Coturnix japonica: one gene and its partner. The protein of the gene in region 2 interacts with the protein of the main gene of each other region in a biochemical or structural test. Links are inferred from orthologs where the notes say so. Each region holds a gene or a part of one and is shown on either strand. Other genes may lie near its edges.

Region 1 (5,101 bases), on a different chromosome or scaffold from region 2:
ACCTCATGAGGTGAAATTTAAATGAATTCTTAATTTGTAACAGCAGCTATATATACAATTGTGCACAGGATTACAGGGAGGCAGCAGCGTTCGCTTTTGCTAAAAAGCCCGTCTTGCATGAAGAATGTGCAATGCTCAAGTTTGGGGATTTTTTGTTTTTACTAGTCTGACAGAATGTGTACAAAGGACACTGGAAAGACCCCTTTCCTCTCTGGATGTCCTTCAATGTGTCCGATCTGCAACACAGGAGAAATAAATAGGTGTCAGTACATGCACAGAACATTCACAGATAGCATTAACTCTAATCAAAACCTGCAGAACTACACAGGTGCTTTGGGAACTCTGCAAGTTTTTTGACAGTTTAACCCAGCATCCTGGGTTAACATCTGAGTTTGTGTAAGGGAACAAAATACAAATTTATTTATGAGACAAAGGAACTGCATCTAAGGAGAACAAAGCAGCTGCAGTTGAATTTAGAGACCTACAGAGGCAATGCACACCAGTGCACTACATGAATCTTCCAACAACAGAAGCCTGACTTTCTTTCATCCATGGACTGACTTGCAGTAACAGGTCACACCTCTCTCAAAACCATTCATCTTAGTTAACTGTGTAAATCCTAAACATCTCACGTGTCCGCTTACGGTTGTGAAGTTCCTTTTGATAAACTGCATGGCTGGATGGGAGAAATCCTATAGAGATTTCACTTGAAGTGATGCAGGCCCAGCTATCCTCCTCAATCAGTTCCTGTGACTTCTAATGATTTATGCGTATACCAGTGCTTGTAGCAAATAACAGCGCTGTTTGATTAAGAATCCTCCACATACCATTTCCTAAGCGTTTCACATAATAATCATTTATAAGGAAATATCCAAGCGATCTCTAACAAAAATCACACTTTCTATATGAACTTCTCATGTTTAAAAAGCCTTATCATCGACAACTGTCCAAGAAACAGCACTAGACTAGTAGTCTTGATTGTCCACTCATGTCCTGCCACAGTGCTGCTCACCACTTTCAGAACAACGTACCTCCTTCCTCTGCCATGAGCTAACAAAACGGGAAGGGGAAGCGTGCAGGGCTGGCCATTTCCTCTTGCAGAGCCAAATTTTTTAAGCAAATGAGTCAATGGCCCTCATTTCCCTTCACAGAAACGCTCAAACTGGAGCGCTCAGACTGGAATCTGTCAGGCACGTGGCTTTTTTAAATCCCTGGGTACTTCACAAACAGATTCGGCAACTAGTGACAGTATAATCAAGGATTGGATGATGTTGCTAATACAGCAGCTTTTCGCTTCACACTGCCCTTCTGATACCATCTTTTCAGCCAAAGCTTTTCCGCACTTAAATGTCCCGCTGATGAATGGAAGGAAACCGTGTAGCTGGGACCACAGTAGTAAGGGCTGCATTGCACTTAGGTTAGGAAATGGTAGGCAGCAGTGGATTAAAACAAATTCTTACTGCAATCTGAATTCAATCTGTCTATTTTTCCAAAGTAATAGCTCTTAGGTAGGAAGTATGAGGTAGGAGGCAGCAGGCAGACTGTCAGGAGAGAGCTGGAGCCTCCAAGCAGGGCTGAGAAAGCCTGAGGTTAGCACTAAAAGAACCAAAGACAATATGCAGTCTAGAGAAGGGCTGGTTATGAAACAAAACTACGCCACAGGAGGGACGAAAATGTTGATTAACTACCTCTTACTTAGGGAAGAAAATCAGCAGCTTATGGCGCTAATTACAAAGTTTTTCAGACTCCCAGCAGCCTCTACAGTTAAAACTTAATGTTTCTGCAGGACTGAAGATAATTACACAACTCATTTTTCATAGAAAGTATATAAGCATGCTAAACGGAGTGATGATATGACACCATCTCTTTATTTGATGGAAAGCCAGCGTGCATTACTGCCTGAACATAAATACAGATGTGTTACTGTGATCCAGCAGTGAAGCCAAGCCCAGCCAGGATGGGGCTAGCAGACTCCTCAGGAGAGGAAGACCCTACTAAGGGTGTCTCCTCTAGTATTAATTTAAATGCTGGATATTGGTTCAAACAAACTCTTCCCCTCCCCTGAATAAATAAGAACAAAAACAACAACAACAACAAAAAAAATTGGTAAAAAAAAACCCAAAACAACAAAAAGGTTTTCCTTTAAGAGCCATAAAGAAGTGACGTGGAACTCTAAAAGGAAAGGATACATACCCACCACTCTTGGTCCTCTTCCCCAGTTACAATAATTACTTCTCCTTCAACAAAGGTGAGCTCATCATCATTATCTGCCTGGCAGTCATAAATTGTCTTCACTCGCCTAACCTTGTTCTTTCCCTGAAAATACAGCAAAGTTTTAGATGGAAGACACGAGGGAGACAGGAAACACATCACATGAATTCTGCCCCCTCATTCTATTTTACAAAACCGCGAAGACCACCCAATTTCCTTCTCTTCAATCAAGGCATAAAATTAAAAAAATCCAAGTATTAAAAAACAAGAAGGAAAGGAAGAAAAGATCTGTATGAGTCTATTTCTCTTTTTTTTAAAGTTTCAGAATTCACAAGAAATTTTAACACTCAGCACACTGCTTAAGTTTCTTACACCTCCTTCATCAAAGCCTAAACAATGCCTTTACATTACTCCAATCCAGCACCACCCGCCTTCGTTCTCCCATCATACATGATTAAACAAAAAAGAAAGAAAAGCCGAACAAACACTGAACCTCAACAGAAATACCCCAAACAGCACCGCCATGGGAACAAACTGAAATCCAATCTCATTTCAGCATCAAAAGAGAGGTAAAGGCTGAGGAAAATGCTGCATTTAAATCGCAGCGTTCCTTGCAATTTGGGGATCTAGCAGGAAAATACAGAATTCTTTGATTTCAGATGTGTTTTTAGGACTGTATCAGGAAATTACTTTCTGAATGGCTTTCAGTCCTGAGTGTTAGCAATTTCTTACTAATTTTTAACTTCAGGTGGCACAACATTATTTATTATGAATTGCCATCACAACATTCTCACAACTCCGCTATTCTGCATCCAAGTGTTTTCTAGGTCATATTTTGCTGCACACTACTAGCTCATGTAAGAAAGCCTGAGCCATGGACTCCTCCCCGAACATATGTTTCTCATGGCAGGAAAACCGCTTTAAATTATTTCCAAACAGAGTAAGTAAGCAGCGCTAACAGAAATATGCTGCTACTTTATACTCACAGAAATGCACTGCTGCTTCATATTCCTGTATTTTTATAATGGGTGCTTCTTCAAAACCTACAGTTCCTCTTTGAACAGAGGTAGACAGATAACAAGAACACAAACAAGAGGAGCAGAAGGAGATGAGAAGCAGGAGGGTATGAAGGAACAGTCAGCAGGTTTAGAGGGATTTGTGCCAAAAGAAACTCAACAGAGGAAATTTCCTACGGAGTCTTCTCTTTGCTGTTACCTTCCCATCTGAAACACCTCCACGTTCTGGCAGCAAAGCACCTCCAGCTCAGCAGCAGAGCAGGCACACAGCAAGGAGAACTCCCATTAAAGTCAAGTTATAGAAAAATAACAATTCTATACATAAGGGGCCATGCAGTTAACACAGCATAAGATCAGGAAAATGTGCTATTGAGACAAACAGAAATACCTTAGGTGAAATTTGTATGAGATCAAAGGACTTCTTTCTCTCTTTTTTTTTTTCCCCAGCAAGGATTTACTGCAGCAAGAAGTTACTTCAAAGAATGCTTTTTTTTTTTTTTTTTAAAACAAATTCAGATAATGTGAACAAAAAATCTCAACTATCACAAGGGACTGGAATGCAATATTAATATGGATGTTTGGAACCAGTCCCTGCTTTCAATTCCAGAGAAGCTTTACAAAGGAAAAGAACTTCCAATCAATGCTCCAGCGACAAAGGGAAACAACTGCCTATGAGAAAGGAGAACTCAAGCCTGGGCTGGTATTAACCCTGAGAACATTCACAGACAGATGGGGCTGAAGGAAGTACAAGGTTGACCAGAATAGAAGCTGGGATGCTGGTGCATTAAAAGTAAAATGAAAGCAAATACAGGACACCTCATTTGGTACTATAAACAAACTCACAGAAGCAATAACAAAAAAAAAAAAACCCTCACAATTCTGCATCCAAATATTAGTACCTATTCGATAGTGCGACCAAACAATCATCAGCTGCGGTCATTAAACAATTTCTCCATGTCTATGCTCAATCACTGTTTAAAAAGAAGTATCTTACCTCCTTTATAGAACACATACACACAAATGAACCAATCAGGTGTTCAGTGATATTTCACAAGCTCTCAGAATAGGATTCATTTCTTCAAAAACATCCTTATGTACCACTAGTGTGTGTGTGTATGTATGTATATATAACATATATATATTCTACAAATTCCAGTGCAGGAATTTATGTCAATTTTTGCCTTTTTATTTTAGTGGCTATCAAAATCAAGCCTGCATTCCCATAAGCAGTGCTGGCTGCTGTCACAGCACTTCATGCACTGTGACGCAGCATTTCATCACACGGTTTGTGCTGAGAGGACACAGAAACAGACTGAAAGCACAAACACAACACGTTGAAGATGAACACCTGCACATTGCTGCTTGAGAAAACTGCAGCAAACCAGCATGCACACAGTGATACATAGAAATTTGCAGTAATTATCATGGATACATCATCATTTTGATCACTTCCAAACAGTGAAATTATTTAATTTACTGCATATATGAAAATGGCTCAGTTTGGAGAACACTGACTTTTTGCTTGTGATTTTTCTGCACAAAACAGGGGAAGAGTTTAAACACAATATCCAAAAAATCAAATCCACTGTTTGCTCTCTTTCAGTCTATTAGAAGGGAGCAATAGATGAGAAAGCCCAGTGTCATCTGCTTCCTTATATTACATAATGAGTACATAAAAAAATCGTAGTTGAAGACACCTTTTGATCTTCGAGCTTTCTTTCACCTAATCTCTACAACAATCAGGAAATTCAACAACAACTCTCATTCTGGGTTCCAATATGAACATGCAAAGGAGTCAATCACAGAAGCAGAAAAATGGCTCTGCAGAAAGTGTTCTTTCTCAGACAGGCACAAGAAAGGAGAAACTCATCCTC
Region 2 (5,694 bases):
CGCCGTTCCTGGAGGTGAGAAGCAGGCTGTGCACACAGCCCAGCCCTGCGCTGCTCACTCAGGTGCCCAGAACCCACCTGGGTAATAGGAGTCACTGACACAGGATGAGCTGCAGATACACTGACCCTCCAGCTCCCAGCGATGGCCCCACACCTGGTCCCAGTGCTCTGAGCCTGTCCACCCTGTGAGCTTCCAATGCAGCCCTCCACCCTGCCCCATGTGCTGGCCACCACCAGTGGGATTCGGGCCATCCCCATCCCATCCACCCCCAGCACAGCACAGCCTGCACTCACCCCATCCCACAGACAGCAGCTCAGCATTCCCACCCATGAGGACACAACCCCACGCCGGGGTGGCAGTGCAGCTCCCCAGGGCTGCAGTGCTCCCTTATCTTGCAGTGGCTGCTGCCAGGGGAAGGAAAGAGCCCAGCTGAACAGGGAGGGACTCCAAGAGCTGCTGCCACTGTGCTTTTTTTCCATATTGCAGAAGTTCTCCAGCTCACGGTTCCGCCCTGGGAACATCCAGACCCACGAGGTGCTGCAGCACCACGGTGCCATTTGGGACTGGGAAACTGCAGCCAGGACCAGGCACAGTGTGGGAGTGGGGACCCTGTGTGCAAGGATGGCGTGTGGCAGCGGGCACAGCCCAGTGCTGTGAGCCCACTGTGCCCAATGACACTGGGCTTTGGAATGGAGAAAGGCTGAGGGGTGAGACTGTGTTATCTCCGGGTGCTGCAGTTCCCCATTTTCCTCTCCAAACCCTTCACCAACGCAGACCTCAAGACAGGACCCCTCACGTTACACTGTGGGTATTCCAGCTCCTCCACACCTCTGCACAGCACAGCCATCCTGGGGCTGGGAGCAGCCCCCCATAAGGTCTGAAGCAAAGCCACCAGCCAGACCCCAGCTTCCCCAGAGCTTCTCCTCCCTGTATCCCCACTATTGCTTTCATCCCCTCCACATCTCCAGCACTGCTTTGCCCCCCCCGGCAGCTCCCAGTGCATCCCAAGCATTCCCAGCTCTGTGCCCAGGAGGGCAGTGAGGAGATCCGTAGCCTGGAGGGAAGTCAGAGCAAGACGCAGATTTACAGGTCCTGGTTCCTGGCCCACGTTCAAACCACATGAAATCTGTTTCAAGGCTTTCTTTTCAGCCTGTGCATGTGCAGAGGCATGTGCAAAGCAGTGCCACTTCCCTCACACCAAGGTCACAGCACCAGAGCAGGGCTGCACTGAGCATATGGCCCACACCAACCAGCTCCTTTTTCCCCTGGCCAAGCAGACTGCAGAGCAGACTATCACACAGCATCACACTCCAGGGAGCTGACCCACACTGCTCACCCTGCATCCACACTTCCGAGAGGGCTTTGAGCTCAGAAGCTCTGAGGAAGTGAGGTCAGCTGGGAAATGGTTCCCAGAGATAAAGGGCCAAGTTAGAAACCGTGCTGCAGGACGGATGGTACAGGAAGCAATAGTGCTGCAGATAGCCCTTGGTGCTTCCCCTGCCATGCCTGGGGTGGTGCGGGGCAGCAGTGATGCACGGCTGTGCTTCCCCTTAGGCACGTGGACTGAGTGCTCCAGCCCAGGGCTTGCTGCAACCCCTTCTCCATCCAGACGTGGCACGTGCTCACTGGTCATTAAAACATGTCATTGTGAGCCAGCCCGGAGCCCATGTCCCCTCTGTGCCACCAGTTTGTTCCTTGTGTATGCAGCAGAGCCTTCACACATCAGACTCTGCAAATTACGGCCCCTTCCCTCGCTGTGCTGGGACAGACAGACCCACCTGGGTGATCTTGAGTCACTCCAGGACAATGTCATTCAAAAGCAGAGGTATCTGTAGGGCATCTCCATCACACAGGGAGCACTGCAAGGCCACTGACAATCTTAACAGCGAGCACTGCACATCCCTCTGCTGTGATGGCCCATAAGCAACCCCAGCTCCAAAATCACCGGGCTGTATTTTGGGGAAGCTCCTGAGCACGAGGTGCTCAGATAAGATCCAAAGCTAAGAAGATAAGGTCAAAGCTTGGGAATGGGTGCAGCCCACAGCCTGCTAAGGAGAGGTGCAGTGGGATCACAGACAGGCTCACAGTGGCACAGTGCTCCCCAGGGAGCCTCATCTCAGACACTGAGCAGCAGAGGTTTGTCCATGGGCCAACCATTGAGCCAGCACGAAGCAGCACAAACAAGCAGCAGCAGCAGGGGATCATCCTGCAGAAGAGTGCAGGGGAACAACAGCATCACACTGCTCCCAAGCACAAGGTCACCGGCATCCCACCACATGCCCCATCACATCCCTGGGGACAGGGGTGAGCACCAGCACGGAAGGAGGAAAAACACCAAACTGAGTCTTTTGTTGCCACATTCCCACAGCTCCGTTTACATCCGATGCTGTTGGATCAGTGCTGTCCCATTCCCAGCACTCAGGCACTGAGCACCCTACGGGCTCCAAACACCACTGAGTGGGGGAACATCACCCACGGGAGCTGCTCCCTGTACCCTCAGAGCTCCCGGGCAGCAGAGAGAAGGGACGGTCAAGAGGAAACCAAACTGCCGTGGGGCTGAGCCGGGGACCGAGCGCACTGCATGGGGTCACGGTCAGCAGGGGAAAGTCCACCCAGGCCCCGGCGTGGTTCAGACAAGTCCCACGGTGCTTCCTCGCGGCGGAGACACGCACAGCAGCCGGGCTGCTCCGGGAGAACCTGCCGGCCGGGTACAGCCCTTCCCCGGGCAGCGCGGGGCTCTGCAGCCTCCCCGGGCGAGGGCAGAGCGAACGCCCGGCGGAGCGCGGACACGAGCCCCGAATCACCGACGAGCGAATATCGAGAGGGAAACGGAGCAGGAGACATCAAAGCAGGGGGGCGATGAATATTTCATGCCCCGGCCTGCACACAGCCCGGCTCTCCCTGCTCTGCTCTCCCAGTGTTTCCCGCAGCCCCCGATCACAACAAAGGGGAGTGCGGGCAGGCGGGGCCGGACCCCGCAGCTCCCCCCTCCGCTCCCCCGGCGGGCCCGTCCCCATCCCCCGGCAGCCCCGCAGCCGGCCCCGGGACCCCGCGCACTCTCCGCCGGACCCACGGCCGCCCCACGCAACCCGGAGCCGCCCCGCCGTTACCGCGGGCATTACGGAGCCGCCCCGCTGCCACCCGGGCATCCTCCACCGCACGGCGAGCATCTCCCGCCGGCCCCGCAGCCGGACCCCGCGGGGACCATCCCCGCCGCCGGACCCCGCGCAGCCCCCGCTCACCTCCCGCGTGTGCGCCCCGCGAGGCCGGACCCCGCCGCTCCCCTCCAGGGCTCGGCCGCGGCTTTGTCTCCGTGCCGGGGGCGCGGCCGCCGCCCCCCGCAGCCGCCGCCGCCGCTCTGGGTGCCCGCACCGCGGGCCGGGCCGTGCCGGACGCTCAGGGCTGCGCCGCCGGCAGCATCGCGCAGCACCGCGGATCCGGAGCGCCGCTTCCCCGCCCCCGATCACCCCTTGTACGGGGTGTGTGTGTGTGTGTGTGTGTGTGTGTGTGTGTAAGGGGGGAACAGCCCACAGGGAGGGAAAAAAAACTAGGAATATGGCAGCAGTAAACCGGAAACGGCTTATAGGAAAAAAAAAAAAAAAAAGAAAAGAAAAATCGCCGAGCCCCTCCCCTCGGGTTTTTTTTTTTTTTCTTTTAAGGAAGAAGCCTCCGGGCTGCCGGGCTCGGCGGGGTGCGGAGCAGCGACCGGAGCCGCCCCCGCCCGCGGCTCTACCGACGCACCCCGTCCCGGAGCCGCCCGGTCGCGGCGGGGCCACGCGTGGGAGCGCGGCGCGGTTCTGAGCTCGGCTCCGAGCTGCCCGCCCGGGATCGGCGAGAGGAGAGCGGTGATTTGCACTGAGGTTACAACCCGGCTGCTTTGCGGTTCGCTTTTATTATAGCGACCGGGGCACGCAGCGAACAGCCGCTTTGTGATGGATTCTGCGCCCTCCTGCATCCTCGTCCCCATCCCCCTGATCTCGGGGAGGAGGCAAAACTTCAGCGCAGGGGAATAAACAGGGAAAGAAGAGCGTGCCGTGAGCCTCCCCGTGGAGCCACGAGCGTGGACGTCGTGCCCACCCCTCGTGCTGCCCCTCACAGCGACCAGAGCGGGGGCTTCTGGAAACTCCAGCGCTTCAGAATCAGTGCGGAGGGTGACTGAGTTTGTTTGCAGTGCGCACCCCTCCCCCGGCTCATTTGAGTTATTAAAAAAATATTTCCCGTGACACTGCCGAGGGCCAACAAACCCATGAGTCACCGGGAGTCATGCACACACCGAGCCGTCCCCACCGGCCAGCGCATCGCACGGGGGGGCCTTCCTGCCAGGAGCAGCCTGATCATCGCTCCCTGCATGAATTGGAGGCTGCGGCCCCAGACTGCAGCCTGGTGTCCGTGGAAAGTCCTTTCGGTGTTGTTAATTCTACAGGGCATAGCAGGGCATGGATGGATGCTGCACCCACAGCGGCTGCCCCAGCCCCACAGCCCCGCAGCCTCCTGCAGGCAGCACAGCCCCGGGCACCGGGCTCGGCCCCAGCCCCGAGGTGCTGCTGCACGGGCTGAGCCCAGACCCACATTGAAAATGGCCACCAGACACTCCTGGCATCCAGCCTCTCCTCTTTGGGGCTCTGGCTCAGCAACGTGCCCTCGCAGCACCCTGGCAGGGGCCCTCCCGGCTCACGGCTCAGCTCTGTGCCCGAGGCGCGTTCACCTGCAGCCCTCCAGCTGCCCTCTCCTCCTGCCCCACTCCCAGCCCTGCTCTTCTCACCATCCCACCCATGCTCTTTGTGAGGCATTCCACTCCCTTCCCTGAAACCTCTTTCTTCTTTCTCTTCACCTTTCAGTAGCACCAAAAACACACGGTGGGGGGGCAGGGCAGAGAGGGATGCAGAGGCTGAAACTAGAAGTGAAAGGCAGGTGCTTTCCAATTCCAAGTCACTCTCACTGAGTACTTCTCCTGGCTCACCCATGTGGGCACATCTCGATTTCTCGTTACAAATGCACAGCTACTTTTGTGCTCTTTTTTGTTGACCTTCAAGCAATTTCATCAGGAAAAATCAGAACAGCTGCCCATGGCTTCCCCCTTCAGGCATGCTGCACACAGACGGTGTGTTGCAATGCCTGGTGACACCGGTGCTGCTGCGTTTCTCCCCACAGAGCCCTGAGGCTCAGCCCCACAGCTGTGTAGTGCTGGGGAGCCCCCAGTGCCCCATGAAACTTAAAGTGGTTGGTTTGGAAGGGAAATAAAGATCGTTGAGCTCCAACTCCTGCCCTGGGCTGGCTGCCCCCACTGGATCAGGCTGCCCAGGGCTCAGCCAGCCCAGCCTTGGCCATGTCCATGCAATGGGCACCCATGACTTCTCTGGACAAACCATTCAGACCTGTTTATGAGCCCCATCCAACCGCTCCGTGGGGCCCCTAAAATCTCTCTGCAAAGTGAGAGGGGCCCTTTGAGGTCCAATGCTCGGTCGGTCCTGACCTCCTCAGCCCAGCTGTGGATTTATAACAAAACAGCCATTCATCTCTGGCCAGCTTTATTTTTAAGCATCCCTTTGGCGAGCGTGCATTAAGTCTTGTTCCACAGATTCTGTTCCTGAGGTGAGCTGCGCTTTGCTCGCTGCAAATTCCAACTATATTTGTAGGAATTATTACTATGAATAACACAGTGGTGGTGTTTGAGTCGCAGACAGATGCAGCAGA

The links.
Region 1: the proteins of SRC (region 2) and ASAP1 form a complex in vitro, tested with the Homo sapiens proteins (2 studies listed by BioGRID and IntAct). The link is inferred for Coturnix japonica from reciprocal best matches to the Homo sapiens genes SRC and ASAP1.

What each region holds. Positions count from the first base shown.
Region 1 is NC_029517.1:126,741,407-126,746,507, forward strand, and holds part of ASAP1 (arf-GAP with SH3 domain, ANK repeat and PH domain-containing protein 1), read right to left. Parts: intron 2,317-5,101; coding exon 2,194-2,316; intron 237-2,193; coding exon 162-236; 3' UTR 1-161. UniProt on the Homo sapiens protein: Possesses phosphatidylinositol 4,5-bisphosphate-dependent GTPase-activating protein activity for ARF1 (ADP ribosylation factor 1) and ARF5 and a lesser activity towards ARF6.
Region 2 is NC_029535.1:4,437,800-4,443,493, reverse strand, and holds the start of SRC (proto-oncogene tyrosine-protein kinase Src), read right to left. Parts: upstream 3,507-5,694; 5' UTR 3,243-3,506; intron 1-3,242. UniProt on the Homo sapiens protein: Non-receptor protein tyrosine kinase which is activated following engagement of many different classes of cellular receptors including immune response receptors, integrins and other adhesion receptors, receptor protein tyrosine kinases, G protein-coupled receptors as well as cytokine receptors.